Linked DNA regions of Coturnix japonica. The main gene of each other region encodes a partner of the protein of the gene in region 3 in a complex. Links are inferred from orthologs where the notes say so. Each region holds a gene or a part of one and is shown on either strand. Other genes may lie near its edges.

What was found. The genes of interacting proteins can lie anywhere in the genome.
Region 1: the proteins of SF3B3 (region 3) and PHF5A are in contact, whole or in part, in a crystal structure (PDB 7B91), measured with the Homo sapiens proteins. The link is inferred for Coturnix japonica from reciprocal best matches to the Homo sapiens genes SF3B3 and PHF5A. Residues at the interface, in NP_036558.3 of Homo sapiens: Gly85, Arg86, Gln104, Glu105, Thr106, Phe107, Gly108, Lys109, Ser110, Leu140, Ile154, Ser155, Ser156, Pro157, Glu159, Ser1162; in NP_116147.1 of Homo sapiens: Gln14, Ala15, Gly16, Val17, Arg44, Asp47, Glu79, Asp81, Arg82, Asp83.
Region 2: SF3B3 (region 3) and IK share a complex: the UniProt entries of both Homo sapiens proteins name them as parts of the spliceosome B complex. The link is inferred for Coturnix japonica from reciprocal best matches to the Homo sapiens genes SF3B3 and IK.

Annotation. Positions count from the first base shown.
Region 1 is NC_029516.1:45,262,747-45,267,491, reverse strand, and holds the start of PHF5A (PHD finger-like domain-containing protein 5A), read right to left. Parts: upstream 2,962-4,745; 5' UTR 2,805-2,961; coding exon 2,753-2,804; intron 2,637-2,752; exon of another isoform or gene 2,542-2,636; coding exon of another isoform or gene 2,490-2,541; intron 2,395-2,489; coding exon 2,371-2,394; intron 1,335-2,370; coding exon 1,168-1,334; intron 1-1,167. Other genes in the region: ACO2 (aconitate hydratase, mitochondrial), read left to right, coding at 3,129-3,164.
Region 2 is NC_029528.1:15,122,181-15,126,743, forward strand, and holds the start of IK (protein Red), read right to left. Parts: upstream 2,962-4,563; 5' UTR 2,855-2,961; coding exon 2,839-2,854; intron 2,721-2,838; coding exon 2,654-2,720; intron 2,497-2,653; coding exon 2,404-2,496; intron 1,984-2,403; coding exon 1,924-1,983; intron 1,696-1,923; coding exon 1,528-1,695; intron 1,444-1,527; coding exon 1,329-1,443; intron 1,080-1,328; coding exon 1,009-1,079; intron 906-1,008; coding exon 859-905; intron 628-858; coding exon 464-627; intron 359-463; coding exon 250-358; intron 1-249. Other genes in the region: NDUFA2 (NADH dehydrogenase [ubiquinone] 1 alpha subcomplex subunit 2), read left to right, coding at 3,020-3,123, 3,203-3,309, 4,145-4,236. UniProt on the Homo sapiens protein: Involved in pre-mRNA splicing as a component of the spliceosome. Auxiliary spliceosomal protein that regulates selection of alternative splice sites in a small set of target pre-mRNA species. Required for normal mitotic cell cycle progression.
Region 3 is NC_029526.1:909,098-913,184, reverse strand, and holds part of SF3B3 (splicing factor 3B subunit 3), read right to left. Parts: intron 3,589-4,087; coding exon 3,437-3,588; intron 3,034-3,436; coding exon 2,878-3,033; intron 2,512-2,877; coding exon 2,356-2,511; intron 1,795-2,355; coding exon 1,651-1,794; intron 773-1,650; coding exon 650-772; intron 1-649. UniProt on the Homo sapiens protein: Component of the 17S U2 SnRNP complex of the spliceosome, a large ribonucleoprotein complex that removes introns from transcribed pre-mRNAs.

The sequences.
Region 1 (4,745 bases), on a different chromosome or scaffold from region 3:
CAGCTCTATATTCTCTATAACCCTCCCTTCCAGAGCAGCGAGCTGCTCTACATCTGAACCTACAGATGAGACTAGAGCACGAAAAATACCTATTAGGAATCAATATGAATTGGTCTATTTAACTGATAAACTGCCAAACAAGTTCTTTGGTCCCACAGACAAGACAACAAAACTACTGCTTGTCACAGCACTTCTAGATGTAGAAGGCAGTACCACCAACAGCATTTCTATCCACATATAATACTTAGATACTAAGAAAGATGGTGCTCCCGCCAGATCTACTGACTAAATTCAGACACGGGCTTGCCCTGCAAGACCTCTAGAGAAAATATGGGTGCTGCAGAAAATTAAAGCAGCAGCTCAGTCAGCTAAGTACATTCCTCTAAATCAGAGCTGTTTGTCAGCACACTCTGCTGACATCAGGGTGTGCTGGAGATGGTGTTTGCAAAGGATCCAGCCCCAAAACCACACAGCCGATACTCTCCATTGGGTCCATACTCTGACACACTGCAACCGCAAGCATCACGTTCTTGCATTTCCCTACAGTCTTTCTACTACTTCATTGGCAGTTCTTCATGACTTGCCCTCACTATGATGGATATTATTGAATACCTAGAGAGCGAGCATCTGCCTTGTCAAAGGACGAAGGACACTAAGGGCTAATTTTACTGTAACACAAAAGTAAACATGGGTGGTGATTCTGTAGGCCTTATGGTACCATATATGCCAGTGGCATGATCATACCATGTATGGTATGATCACGGACACAGTAAGAAGCTGATCCTGCCACTGCCTTTGCAACGTCTAAAGTGTCTCTGCTGCTGATAAAACTTTGGCTGAGAGATTTAGTAAGATAACAGCTGAAAGTGGTAACAAGCAGAGCGTGGAGGAAGTGAACTGTGAGTATGCATCGTAAAGCACACAAGGATCCTATGGGATACAGAATCGAGGCACTGCTCGCTACCTCAAAGTGCTCCACAAACACTGGGAACCACCGACAGAAAAAGAAACATGCAAGGAAATGAAAACCAGTGCCAGTTCTGGGAGAGGAACCCAAGCATCCAATGTCCTAACATTAATATCACTTGCTCTAAGTCCCTTTAAAGATAAGCATAGCTATTAAACAAAGACATAAGCAATTCTACAGGAGACTGGATGACAACGTACATCTTTTTCCTGGATGGTGCACTCCTTGCAGTAGTAGGCATCAGACACCCCTGGGCCCCCGCAGATGACGCAGCGCCCTTGGTACGAGCCGTAGTTACACTCATCACATATGCGCACCAGGGTGCAGGGCCGCACGTACGAGTCACAGATCACACATTTGCCATCACCTGCAAGTACAGCAGTCTTTGGTTACAGAACGTCCTTTTCTCCACCCCACATAAAAGAGGAAAAGTCTGCTGGACAAAGAACTTGCCTGTATGCTCAAAGACAACGCAGTTAGACTGCAGAACTTTAGCTTACAGGCACAAGGTGCAACTTTATATTTACACAGACTTCAGAGGAACGAGGGCCAACAGCCAGCCATATCCAAGGCCAAAAAAAGGGCAAACCGGCATAAATTGCCACTTCACAGAGTTGCTCTTGCTTTCTCACAAGGGACTGAGAGAAATACAAGTGCTCTTATCATACAGGCAAACAGCCATCAGATGCCATGGACAGTCTCTGCTCTGCGGGCCCCGATCCAAAACTCTGACCTCCAGATGAAAGGCTTCAGATCTTATTACCAGTTCCCAAGGTATTTAATCCTGACTCTCACAAACAGCTCATTTAACCTGCTCTTCAATCTCAGTCCCAACTGCCCTCAGCTACTACCACTGGGAATCCATTTAACTTCTGTGTACTTCTGAAAACAGTTCAGTTGCTTCAGACTGTGCTTCTCCTCACTTCGCTTGTTTTTAACATTTTTTGGAGCCTAGAAATAGCTGGCTTACTTGTACTGAGCTCCTGCAAGGATCTAATGACCAATTGTGCTTATTCTTTTCTGCTATAGGTGAGCACGAGCACAGAATTATAGGGGTTGGAAGGGATCTCCAGGAATCAAGTCCAACACTTTGGCCAAAGCAGGTTCCTTGCAGTAGGTTGCATAGATATTTGTTTTTGCATATTCATCTGCTGTAGCACTTTTTTCCATCCATTTCCCATTCTAACAGATGCTGAAGGGAAGCTGTGCGGTCTTTTTCTCGCACTTGCTCCATACACTCAGGCCAACACACAGGTCACTCCTCCCAGCCCAAGCTGCAGTTACCTGCTATTTCTATTTGGTTGTGACCCCAAGTCAGCAGCAGAGCAAAAAGAGAAACCGAGCTGCAGGCACTTACCACAGAGTTGGGTTCTCAAACAACTACACGCAGAAGATGTACTTACATTTCTCACAAAGCCTTCCAATTGCTGTAAGGGGAAAAAGAATGCGAAAAAACACATATTACTTGAGGCTACATTTAGAACGCAAATACAAGCGACGCCTGTCCTCAGGGCACACCCACCCGGCCCACAGTCCCTCCGCACGGTGTCCGGCCAACGGCTCCCACCGGCCATAAGGAAACCCGCACTCAGCGCCGCATCGCGATCCCCAACCACATCCCTGCGGCCTCGGGGAGCGCCACGAACCCCGAGCTCAGAGGGCCGAGGGAAGAACGAGGAGCTGCGCGAGGGGCCTGACGGGCACCTAACGGGCACCTAACGGGCTCGAACTGCCGCCCGAGCCCACCGTCAAGGTGCGGAGGGCCACGACCGCGCCGGTACTCACCGACGCCCGCCTGCTTGCGGCAGAAGATGAGATCCGGATGGTGCTTGGCCATGGCGCCGGCGACACTTCTCGGTGCTCTGCCGCCGTGTCCCGGTCCTGTCAGGGGTGTGGAGAGCGTCCGACAAAGCGGCGCTCCGGGAGGGGACACCGACCCGTAACCGAGCTCCGCATGGTGCTTCAAACCCAATCCGCCTCGCTGCTCCCTTCAACGCGGGGAACGCCCGTACCCCCGCCATGGGAACGCCGCTCTCTCCTCCGGTACCTCCCTGCCAGGACCCGCTGGACCCCGCCCCCTTCAGCCTCCTCCCGCGCCAGAGGTATCAAAAGGGCGGACTGACGCCATCGGGGCGCGACTTCATCTTTGTCAGTGCACAAAATGGCGCCGTACTGCGTCCTGGCGGCTCGGCTGCGGGTGAGCGCCGCGGGACGGGCGGGGCCGGGCGAGGCCGGGCTGGGCGGTGGGGTGAGGGCCGCTGCAATCCTGGACGGAGGGCAGAGGGAGCGCGGGGCGGCGGGCGGAGGCGTGGGGCCGGGTCTCCGCTGTCTGCGCGTGTAGGTCAGCGCGTCCCCGGCGCGGCCCGACGCCCGTTTCCATGGCGATGGCGGGGCCGCACCGGCGGAGGCGGCTCGGCCGCCTGATGGGCCTCGGTGTCGGGCGGGTCCCGCCGCCTCCGGGCACCGCTGAGCCTCAAGGTGAGCGCAAGGTGACCGCGCCCGGGTAGGCCGAGATATCGCGCCTGGGGCCGTGCTTCCTCCTTCCGCGGGCTCCTCCTCATCTCGTGCCGTTAGCAGCCTGTGCCCTTGGCTGCCCGGCTCCAGGACTGCGGCCTTTCATGTGGATGGGAGTTCCTAGATCTGTTTGTTAAAGGGGCCGTGCAAGGCCAGGCGGCCACATCAATTATCTTTTTATTATTATTATTTTATTTTCCAAATGGCTTGAATCTACCTTCATAATGACTCTCCCAGTCTTCTCCATTGTGACCTCTAAAACCCACGTCTGCTTGTGCCCATCACGGGCACTACAGTACTAAGGGCATTATCCCGTTTACTATCTACTCACTAATAAACACTTGATTGTTTTTTAAAGCCTAGAAGGCAGTAGAATGCCATTTTCTCATGTAGTGCTGCTTGCTGTGCTGCCCTCAGTACGTGCCACATGGTGAAGCTGAGAGCTCGGACTGCTCCATTTGCCAGCTGTGACCTTGGGGAGGGTGTTCCCTCTACCCAGGGAGCTGCAGCAATAACCTTATCAGAGAGTCACAGAATAGCTCAGCTTGGAAGGGACACGTGAAGGATCGTTGAGTGAGGTGCTTTGAAAGCACTTTGTGAAGAAGGCAGTGGGCGTAATACCAAGCTTGCCAGAGTTCAAGAAGTGTTTGGACAATGCTTTCACACATAGGGCCGGCTTTTTGGGTGGTACCACGTGGAGCCAGGAGTTGGGTTTGATGATCTTTATGGATCTCTTTCTACTCAAGATATTCAGTGATTCTATGGTTCTTACTCACATTTTATGTTATTACTTTGTTGCTCTCGGTGCAGATGTCTTAGAAAAGGACTGTTTTTTAAAGTAAAACTTACAACATGGCATCATTGCAGTTATCTCAGTGTATTCATCGTTGACTGTTAAATAATTGCTACTTTGCACTTTGAAGAGAAACAACTACTGATAAAACATAAGCAAATATTTTATTAGGATAATGGGTTGTTTCTCCTTTTATGGTATGTGCAGTCACGTCAGGTCAAGTGGGTGTGTACTTAAGTGGATATGTGTCAGCACAGCAAATGCATGAAGTTTAGACCTTTGGGAGTATTATATTATTAGATTCAAAGTAGGCTTTTTTTTCAGTTTAAGGGACTGTTACCAATCATTCTGGCTGGTTGCTATAGGAAGCAAATAATAGCTTTTCTCATATGTAGCAGTCTAGAGATGTAATGATAACATGACTCATCTTGCTAGTTGCTGCAGTAGTGCCAGCACTGAATGTGGCATGTG
Region 2 (4,563 bases), on a different chromosome or scaffold from region 3:
CTAAGAAACTGGTTAAGAATGGGGATAACAGAGCAGCACAAGCCACTCCTGCAGCTGTACTTTCTCAGCGCTTATTCAGCTGTGAACACCCTGCCTTCAGGATGCAGTGTTTGGAGAGCAACAGGAAGTCACTGTCCTCCAAGTTCACTGCCCCACAGTGCAGGGAATGCGGGAAATCAAAACGTATCTCATTCTCTCGGGATATGCTTCAAGCATGAGTCCTTCCACTTGGCTCCCTTCAGCACCTACCTTTGTCTTTCTTCTTGAGCTTCTTGTTGCGAGTTCCTTGCCTGAGATAAGAGAGGATCTGTGTCAGCTTGCTGATGACGATGTCATTTGTGGTCAATGTAGTCTGTGCCTGAAAGAGAAATGCCCATGGCAGTGGCTGACTCTGCAGAGGGCAAGCCCTGCTCCAGGCAATTCAAACCAGCACAGTCAGGGGAGCTGGACACCAGCTGGATACCTCCATGGTGGGGCAGTCGGCCTTGCTCCGGATCAGCGTGGTGGGGATATCAGTGTCAGCGTACTCATCATCCAGATCTACCACATAGGCCATCCTCCCCGGCAGGAACAGCTCATTCCGCTCGTAGGCTTTGCTCTTGAACAGAATGCGGTAGATATTTCGACCTGGAGGGAAAAGGAATGCTCTTAAGGTGCTCCTAGGAGAGCAATGGACAAGCCCATAAAGAACTGTGTTTATTTGATCAGAAACATCAGAATCAGTTCCTAAGAGCCACGGTTGTGCTCTCAAGTTCATTATTCCTGAACCCTATATGCCTCCTTCCATCCGCTTCAGCATTTCTCTCACATCCAAAACACAACACAAATAAGGGCACAGCCACGTGCACACAGCCTTACCCAACCGAGTCTTAAATTCAATTTTGTTCTCAGGATCTTCATCTTTCCTGGAAAGACACAGAAACGAAGCATGCTAAGCACTCACCCCCTCTGCATCATCCCCTCTGAGAGGCAGCTGCACTCAGCAACGCAAAACCCTCCACCACTCACTTGGTTTCTTTCTGAGGCTTCTCCATCATCTCCTCTTCTTCCTTCTCTTTGCTGGCAATCTCAGCCCGCACCTACCACACAGAGTAGATCCGTGCATTACAGACCACGTCACACTGCTGCCATTCATTGCAACAACAAAGGCCACTGCCACAAGGTCCCCAGCCGTTCATAAATCCTTCCATGCAAGGACAATGCATTCCAGGAATGCGCTGGCAACACCACAGTATGTGACAGCAGGAACCACCACCCCCTCCTCACCACCTCTGCCAGCTGGACAGGCCACGATAACAGAAGAGCAGCGTGGTGATACCTGTACTCACCTTCTGCAGCAGGGCAAAGTCCAGACCCTTCACCAAGTGAGTGTGCTCCATGTCACCACCCAAGAACTTGGACTCCTGGATCAACTGTCTCCTCTTCTCTGCAGCAGATTTATCCCTGTGCAACAAAAGCGGAGGCTGTTACGGGGCAGCTGCTGTGGAGCAAAGTGTTAAAAGAAGGCCATGTCACAAGCTCACGTACGCCTCTGCAGTGGGCCCCACAGCCCTATAGTTTGCAGTTGTACTGATCAGCTCTGTTTCCTCGTAGTCCTTGTTCACACCATCTCTCCTCTCCTTGGCTCGATCCCTGTACTTCTCAGCCAGTTCTCTTTCACGCTCTATCTCCTGCTGGCGCAGCTTCGCATAATAGCTGAGGTTGGAGAAACAGCCCAACATTAGTGACACATTCAGTGCTTGATGCACTGCTCGTGCAGCACCCTCTAATGCCCAGCACACGCCTGTTCCACTCTCCATCTCCTCCCCACACACAAAATAAAGCACTGTGGGATACAACATCTCAGATAAGATGGAGCTGTTGTAATGAGGAGCTCAGTCTTCCCTTCCAAAAGGAAAAGATGAACGTCCTTTCAATGCTTACCTTTTCTTCTTCCTTCTACGAGCAGCTGGATCTTCATCTTCATTGTACTCCCGGGGCATCCTGGAAAAGGGTAAGAAACAACAGCTACAACCTGCACAGCATGATGGGAGAGTCCCAGCTGGACATCACAGAGCCCAAAGGCAGGAACAGCACAGTCCAGTGTGTCAACGAGGAGAGGAGGCCAAAGCTCATATCTGCACTTGGCAGAATCTGATCTGCTTCTTAAAATCCATGTAAAACATTCTAACAGCTCTGAGCCACCAGTTTCTCACATTAAGTCCAACAACACACACGTGCAACTTGCACACCCAGCACAAAGCTGGGTCAAGCTCTGCTCCCCCATCCCTACATCCACACTTACTAGCATAGTAAAATACTTTAAATACCCCACTGTGGAGCACGGGGTTATGGAGCCAGGCAGCTCCATCACCCTTAGGGCTGAATGCTGTGCCCACAGCGCAGTGAACGACCCCAACTCACTCATGGTGCCGGGATTTGGATGGCGGGGCCGATGTTGGCGTCGCCCGCGGGGTCATGAGCAGCTTCCGAAAGTCTTCATTGGTCAGTTTGGACCTGGGGGAAACGACAAGAGCCGCCATCAGCTCCCAGTACGTGCAATGGACCGGCGGGTCGGGGGCTGTAACTGTGTGCAATGTCTGTGTGCAGTGTCTGTGTGCTGCAGGGCAGTGCCTGGTGTGCAGCACTCGGGGCTGTTCCGCCCGGTACTCACTGGTGGAAGGAATGGGCGTCGTCCACATCGTGCCCATCGGGGGCCAAAGGGTTGGAGAACGGCTCACCTGGACGGGACGGAACAGCGCTCAGCAACGGGCTCAGCACCAACACCAACACCAACACCAACACCAACACCAACACCAACACCAACACCCCCCGTTCCCCTCCCCCCGCTCCTCTCACCGTCCCGTTCCGGCATCGCGGCCTACTCCTCTCCCCTCAGCTGTCAAGCCGGAAGTGCTGGAAGTGCCGGAAGTGGCCACTTGGCCGGAAAAACGCTCCGATTGGCTGAGAGCCGGGGTCACGCTCCGATTGGCTGAGTGCCGGGGTCACGCTCCTTGTGCTTCCGGCGGAAGAGCTCAAGATGGCGGCGGCGGCGGTGAGGGGCATCGGGGGCGGGTTGGGCCGCGGGCTGAGGGAGCTGCGAGTACATCTGTGTCAGCGATCTGATGGCAGCCGGGGAGTCAGGTGAGACCGGGACCGGGACGGGGGCTGTACAGGGTCGTATAGGGCTGTACCGGGCTGTGACGGCTGCTGCCCTTGGCAGGGAGTTCATCGAGCAGCACTACGTGACGCTGAAGCAGGCGAACCCCGACTTCCCCATCCTCATCCGAGAGTGCTCCGGGGTGCAGCCCCGGCTGTGGGCGAGATACGGTGAGTGAGTGAGTGAGAGTGAGTGTGCTGTGTGCTGTGTATGGTGTGTGTGTGCTGTGAGTGTGTGCTCTGTGTGCTGTGAGTGCTTTGCTTTTGTCCCAAAGCCGCCAGCAGCAGCTCAGTGCCTTCCCCAACCTTCCCCCCCAGCTCAGGCTGCTCAGGGCCCATCGTAGAATGGCCCCCCCCCAGCTATGAGCAGCACTGCCCCCTCAGTGCCCTCCGGGTGAGGGGTTTCCTCCACACATCTGGCCCAAGTCTCCCTGTTTTAAAGCCTTCCTTCCTTGTCCTGTTCTCATAAAGTGTAAGAAGTGGCTCTCCATCTTGCTTGTAAGTTCCCTTTAAGCACTGGAAGGCTGCACTGAGGTCCCCCCAGATGTACTCACCTTTCAAATAGGAGAACCCTAGTGCCAGCACCAACCTGCAGGTATCTGTGTCTCTTTGTGATTTGCAGGAAGATAGAGCCCCCAGTAAGGGCTACTATAGGAGCAGTGAGTTTTTCAGCACAGTTTTTCTGAGGGGGTTGTGATAGTCTTTACATGAGCCAAAAGCCAAACCGGGTTGATCACTTTGGGACATCACAGTGGCCTCTGCTCAGCTGCAGTGCCCTGATTTTAAGAGGTGAGCAAATGTGGTAGGGTACGTTGGTTTCTCCAAGGGATATCACTGAGCAGCGGGGTCAAGAAAGGTGGAAAGAGTAACTAGGGCACGGGAAGGACCTGGGGACAGCAGGGAGCTGAGGGGTGGTGACACTGGCCCTGGGAAACCCAAAGCGAGGCCTTGGTTCACCCTTCAGCAGAACAATAGAATGAAGCCCAACCCTCCCTCTTTTCTGCAGAGTTTGGCAAGGAGAAAAGTGTGTCGCTGCATAACCTCAGTGTGGACGAAGTGGCGAAGGCCTTGGAGAACATTGTGAAAGGCAAGGTGTGAAGACAGCCAGCAAACACACGGAATGCTTTACTTGCAATGTTTAATGTAAGATGTGTGTCCTTAACTTAATCACATAAATGTACATGCTTCTCCTGAGCATCGCTTCTTGGGTTTTAAAACTGTAGCAGTAAATCCAGCAGTGTTTGTACACCTCCTCTGCAGCAACAGGAACCTTTCTGTACTGGTTGCAGCTCAGCTCTGCCCCTGCCCTACATAGCAGGGAGGCACAGGGCACCTTGACAGTGCTTACACCATGACCGGGACACCATGACCAGCATTTCCTGTAGGGCCAGCACTGCTGCTTGCAGATAATCTGACCACCCAACG
Region 3 (4,087 bases):
ACCAAACATTAAAGCAGAGCTCAGACTGCCAGCTCCAGCCCCCTGTGCTGTCAACATTTCTCAACCCTGAAGGTGTTATCCAAAGATGAGTCAAGCAGGGGGTGGCTGATCTCCCCAGTGTCACATCAGAACAGCTAATAAATGGCACTTCCGATGAAACATGTTCTCCCCTCTATGCCAAATCCTACAAATATTTTCCTTGAACCATGCACGATAACTCTGTTGACCCTGGCTAGAAAGGAGATGGCCATGAACTGCATCAAATGGTCAAGAAGCACGGGGCTCCTTCAGTCTGCTAACTGCAGCAGCCAAGGTGAGTTTCTTCACCGTCTCTGTGCAAAAGAATCTGTGCAGAGCTTTCCCAGATAAACTGAACATACAGTCACCAGGTCAGATGACTCCAGGTCAGGAGGCAGGGCAGCACTGCACATTACTTCCTCAGAAGTATGGGACTACCAACAAGAGCGGGGCTGTTTATGAAAGAGCAGGCTGCGAGGCAGGCGGCTCCATAATTAAGTCATTCTCTTTCCCACCCTTACCCAGAGCTGCACTGTGAGGACACTTCCCCACCCTGCCTGCCAATAGAGAAAAGCAGGATGCTGCACCTGGGGGCTGGATCGATACCCCTCCAACAGCTCGACTCACTCACCGCTTCTTGGCCTTGCATTCGGACTCGGAAGAGCTTCACAGGCCGTGAGCCCAGGTACCTGGTCCTGGTGTCGGAAAGATCACCCGTAACTGGATCCAGGACAGTTCGCAGCAGCACACCATTCTTGACATCAATAAATCAGAAAGTTGGATCACAATTACGGATAAGGAATAACTAAATACAGCTTTCATGCTACTCAAAACAAAAAATTTCTGAAGAATGAGGCTTTTGTTTGCCTGGCTTCTGATACAATTCCCTCCTACAATTATTCTCTATCTAACTAGGCTCTTAATATTACAAACCATAGCTCCTGTGCACTCCCCAAGGGGTAGCGAGGAATTAGTTTTAAAAATATAAGATAAAATAAAGGGAGACCGGTAAGTTGGGCACATCACAAAAGCCACAGAAATAACTCCAGGACTGACTCCATTTCCTAATCCCTCTCATTACAAACCATCTATCCAAAGAAAAAAAACAACCCAACCATGCTGCTTGAGTGTGCATTCTGACATGAAACTTGAGACTGCTCCCATTATTTTTACCACATGTTGAATTGTCAAAACAACATTTTTGGTTAAGGATCACAGAGTCTGCACTGTACGCAATAGAAACCATGCAGCAACAGATTTATTAGAGCAGAGCCTGCGGTTGAGGGCAATCACTCCTTTGATTCTCTGCCCTACAGGCAGTTCATTTCACCCAAAAATGTTTAGAATTTGTCTTCCTTTTGGAAGAGGAAAAAACTACCTTGTCCTACATGACGTCTGAGAGAATATGCTGCCTTTTGACCAGTGTTCAGCCCAGGAACATAAGGGGAAACTTGCAGTTCTGCTAAGTCATAAGGTGAATTCCCCACTTACAGTCGTTAAGCATGTTGTAACAAGGAGGGAACACTCAGGCTTTGTGCTGCACTGTATGATGACATGGCTACCCGAGCAATCTGCCTTTCCAACAAAAGCTCACCAATGCACACCTGCCAGAGGTAAGCAGACACCTCTCACCTGCAGTCCAATGTTCAGGTAGAGAAAGCCAATGGAGCCTCTCTCCCCCAGCTCGTCCTGTTTCTCAGTGCCACCCATCTCCACGATACACAGTGACTCAGGCTGTGCAGGAAGGGCCTGCATACTCAGTGGCTGCAAGCAGTCCTGTGAGAGACAGAAAGAAGGGTAAAAAGGAGTCACAATAGATGCTGGCTGCATGGATTTTGGCAAGGAAGGGATGGTAACAACCCTGTAATCTGTGGAAGACAAGTTGGATCCTTTCAAACTGTCCTGGAATCGTTTGTTCAGGTTTCTCCATGCTAAATAACTGCAAAGTCTGCATTACTTCAGTCATCCACTGAACGCTGATATGATGCAGGCAGAGAAATGATAAGGCTGTTTTGCTGCTAACTTGCTTGGGTTCACTTTTACTAAAGGTAGAAACAGTGAGATAAGGGGAAAAAACCAAAAAGCAGAAAATGCTTTTATATCTTATCATCTAAACTCCCAGACATGAGTAAGACTAGATAAAACTAGAGAATCTGTTTCTGGATAGGATCAAGGGCCACAGTTCCTCCCAGCTCTGCAGAGGAGAAAAGTCATACAAGCTATTCCTTCCCAGTCACCTGCTTGAACACAGAAAGACAGCACGCAAAGCCCAGCTCTGGAGCACTCTTCTGAACATTCGAAGCCAGGGGAAGAGGCAAAACCAGAATGGCTACTCACTGAAGGGTCAAGGGAAATAATCCTGACAGTGTTGTCCACCAGCCCGACAGCAAGGAACCTGGAGCGCTGCTCCCCAGGTGGAACATTGGCCAAACTCATGCAAACTACATCGGCTGACATCTCCTTTCTTTCAGTGTACTCATTCAGCTGTCCTGACTGAGACAGAAAAACACAAGAGACTCATTAATTAGGTAACAGAGCAGACCAGCACCAAAATGTCTCTCCGAACATCTTTGGTATATTAATTTTTAAGATAGCATTTTGGATTTTATTTCTAGCTACAGTTCAAATAACAATAGTAGCAGGGAAGTTTATGACTTCCAGCTTCACTTATGAACTTCAGAGGCTGTAATTAGCCATTAAGTCATCTAACGCAGACACAGTCCAGACTTGATTGACTCATTCCAGAAGGACTCTTCACTACAAAATCCTTTCCTGCAGGTTTGATGGAGGATCAGTATCTGCCAGGCCCCATAATCTGCACTGTTCTTCTAAACTCTTTCACAACACTAATGCACGTACCGGGTCCATCTCAAAATAAACCAGCTCTCCTCCAGTCAGTGCTATCACTACTTGTCTCTGGTTCACAGCACATTTCACAATGGTTTTCTTCCCTGGTGTCTTCCATTCGTTTACTCTCTTATCTGCTCGGATGTGCCGGATGCCATCAGGGTATACCTGAAAGAAAAAAGGTCACATTCATTCCTGTATTTACCATCCCTTCCCAACTTCCACTTCAATTCTGATTCTGACACAAAAGCCAAAAGAGAGCATCACTTCTGGCAGCACTGACTTATTAGCAATGCAATAGAATGAACTAGGACAAAGCCACTTGCCAGCTGGAAGCATTTTGTCTTTGAACTACAGTGAAGAACTACTGAGCGCATTCTGAGGGAGCTCAGAGCATTTTCAGCTGGTCCAGTTTAACTACCAGGATAGAAAAGGGTGAGACCAAGTATCATTCTCTTCCAATCCACACCTTTTGACACGACATATGATGTACTACTGTAAAAACCACAGCTGTGCAGCAAGCAGCCACCGGCAAATGTATGTGGACATGCCGGAAGCAGCTTTCCATTACCTGTACCAAGGCATCATCCCCCAGAAGAGAGCAGGACAAGGTGGGTGTAGTACCCAGGAATCCAGAGTCAGTCACTTCTTCTACAGTCTCTCCGATAGACAGCACCAGTGTGGCGTTTACGAAGGACACAATGATATAGGCGTCAAACTCATCTGGTCAAGGGAGACAAAGGGAAAAAATAAATAATAAAAAAGGCTGCTGATTAAAGAAATGCAAGTCCTCCCGCTGAAATTAACAGCCTGATGAATGTCTAGCAGCTGCTCTTCAGCAGAATTCCTGTGATAATTACATCTGCTGGTAATATTGTGCAAGTTCGTCCTAGGACACCCTGTGCAAAAGTCATCCAGTGCTCGACTCCAAACAACGCAAGACTGAGCTGGGGGAATCGAATGATGATACAGTCAATTCATGATCTGGAATCTGGCAAGCTACCTCCTGCCTACTCTCCCTTTCTCGCAATGATAGCACGGGGTCTAAAAGCCTTTAAGACACTTGCCCCATCTCACACGAGGAAATGAATCCAGATTTAACAGCCAGCGAAGTCGAATGAAACACTCGACTCCAGTAAACCAAAACAGATGGGATCTATTTGCAGAAACTGCACCACGGATTCTATGAACAGGACTTTGCAAGACCACATCTCTTGTTTGT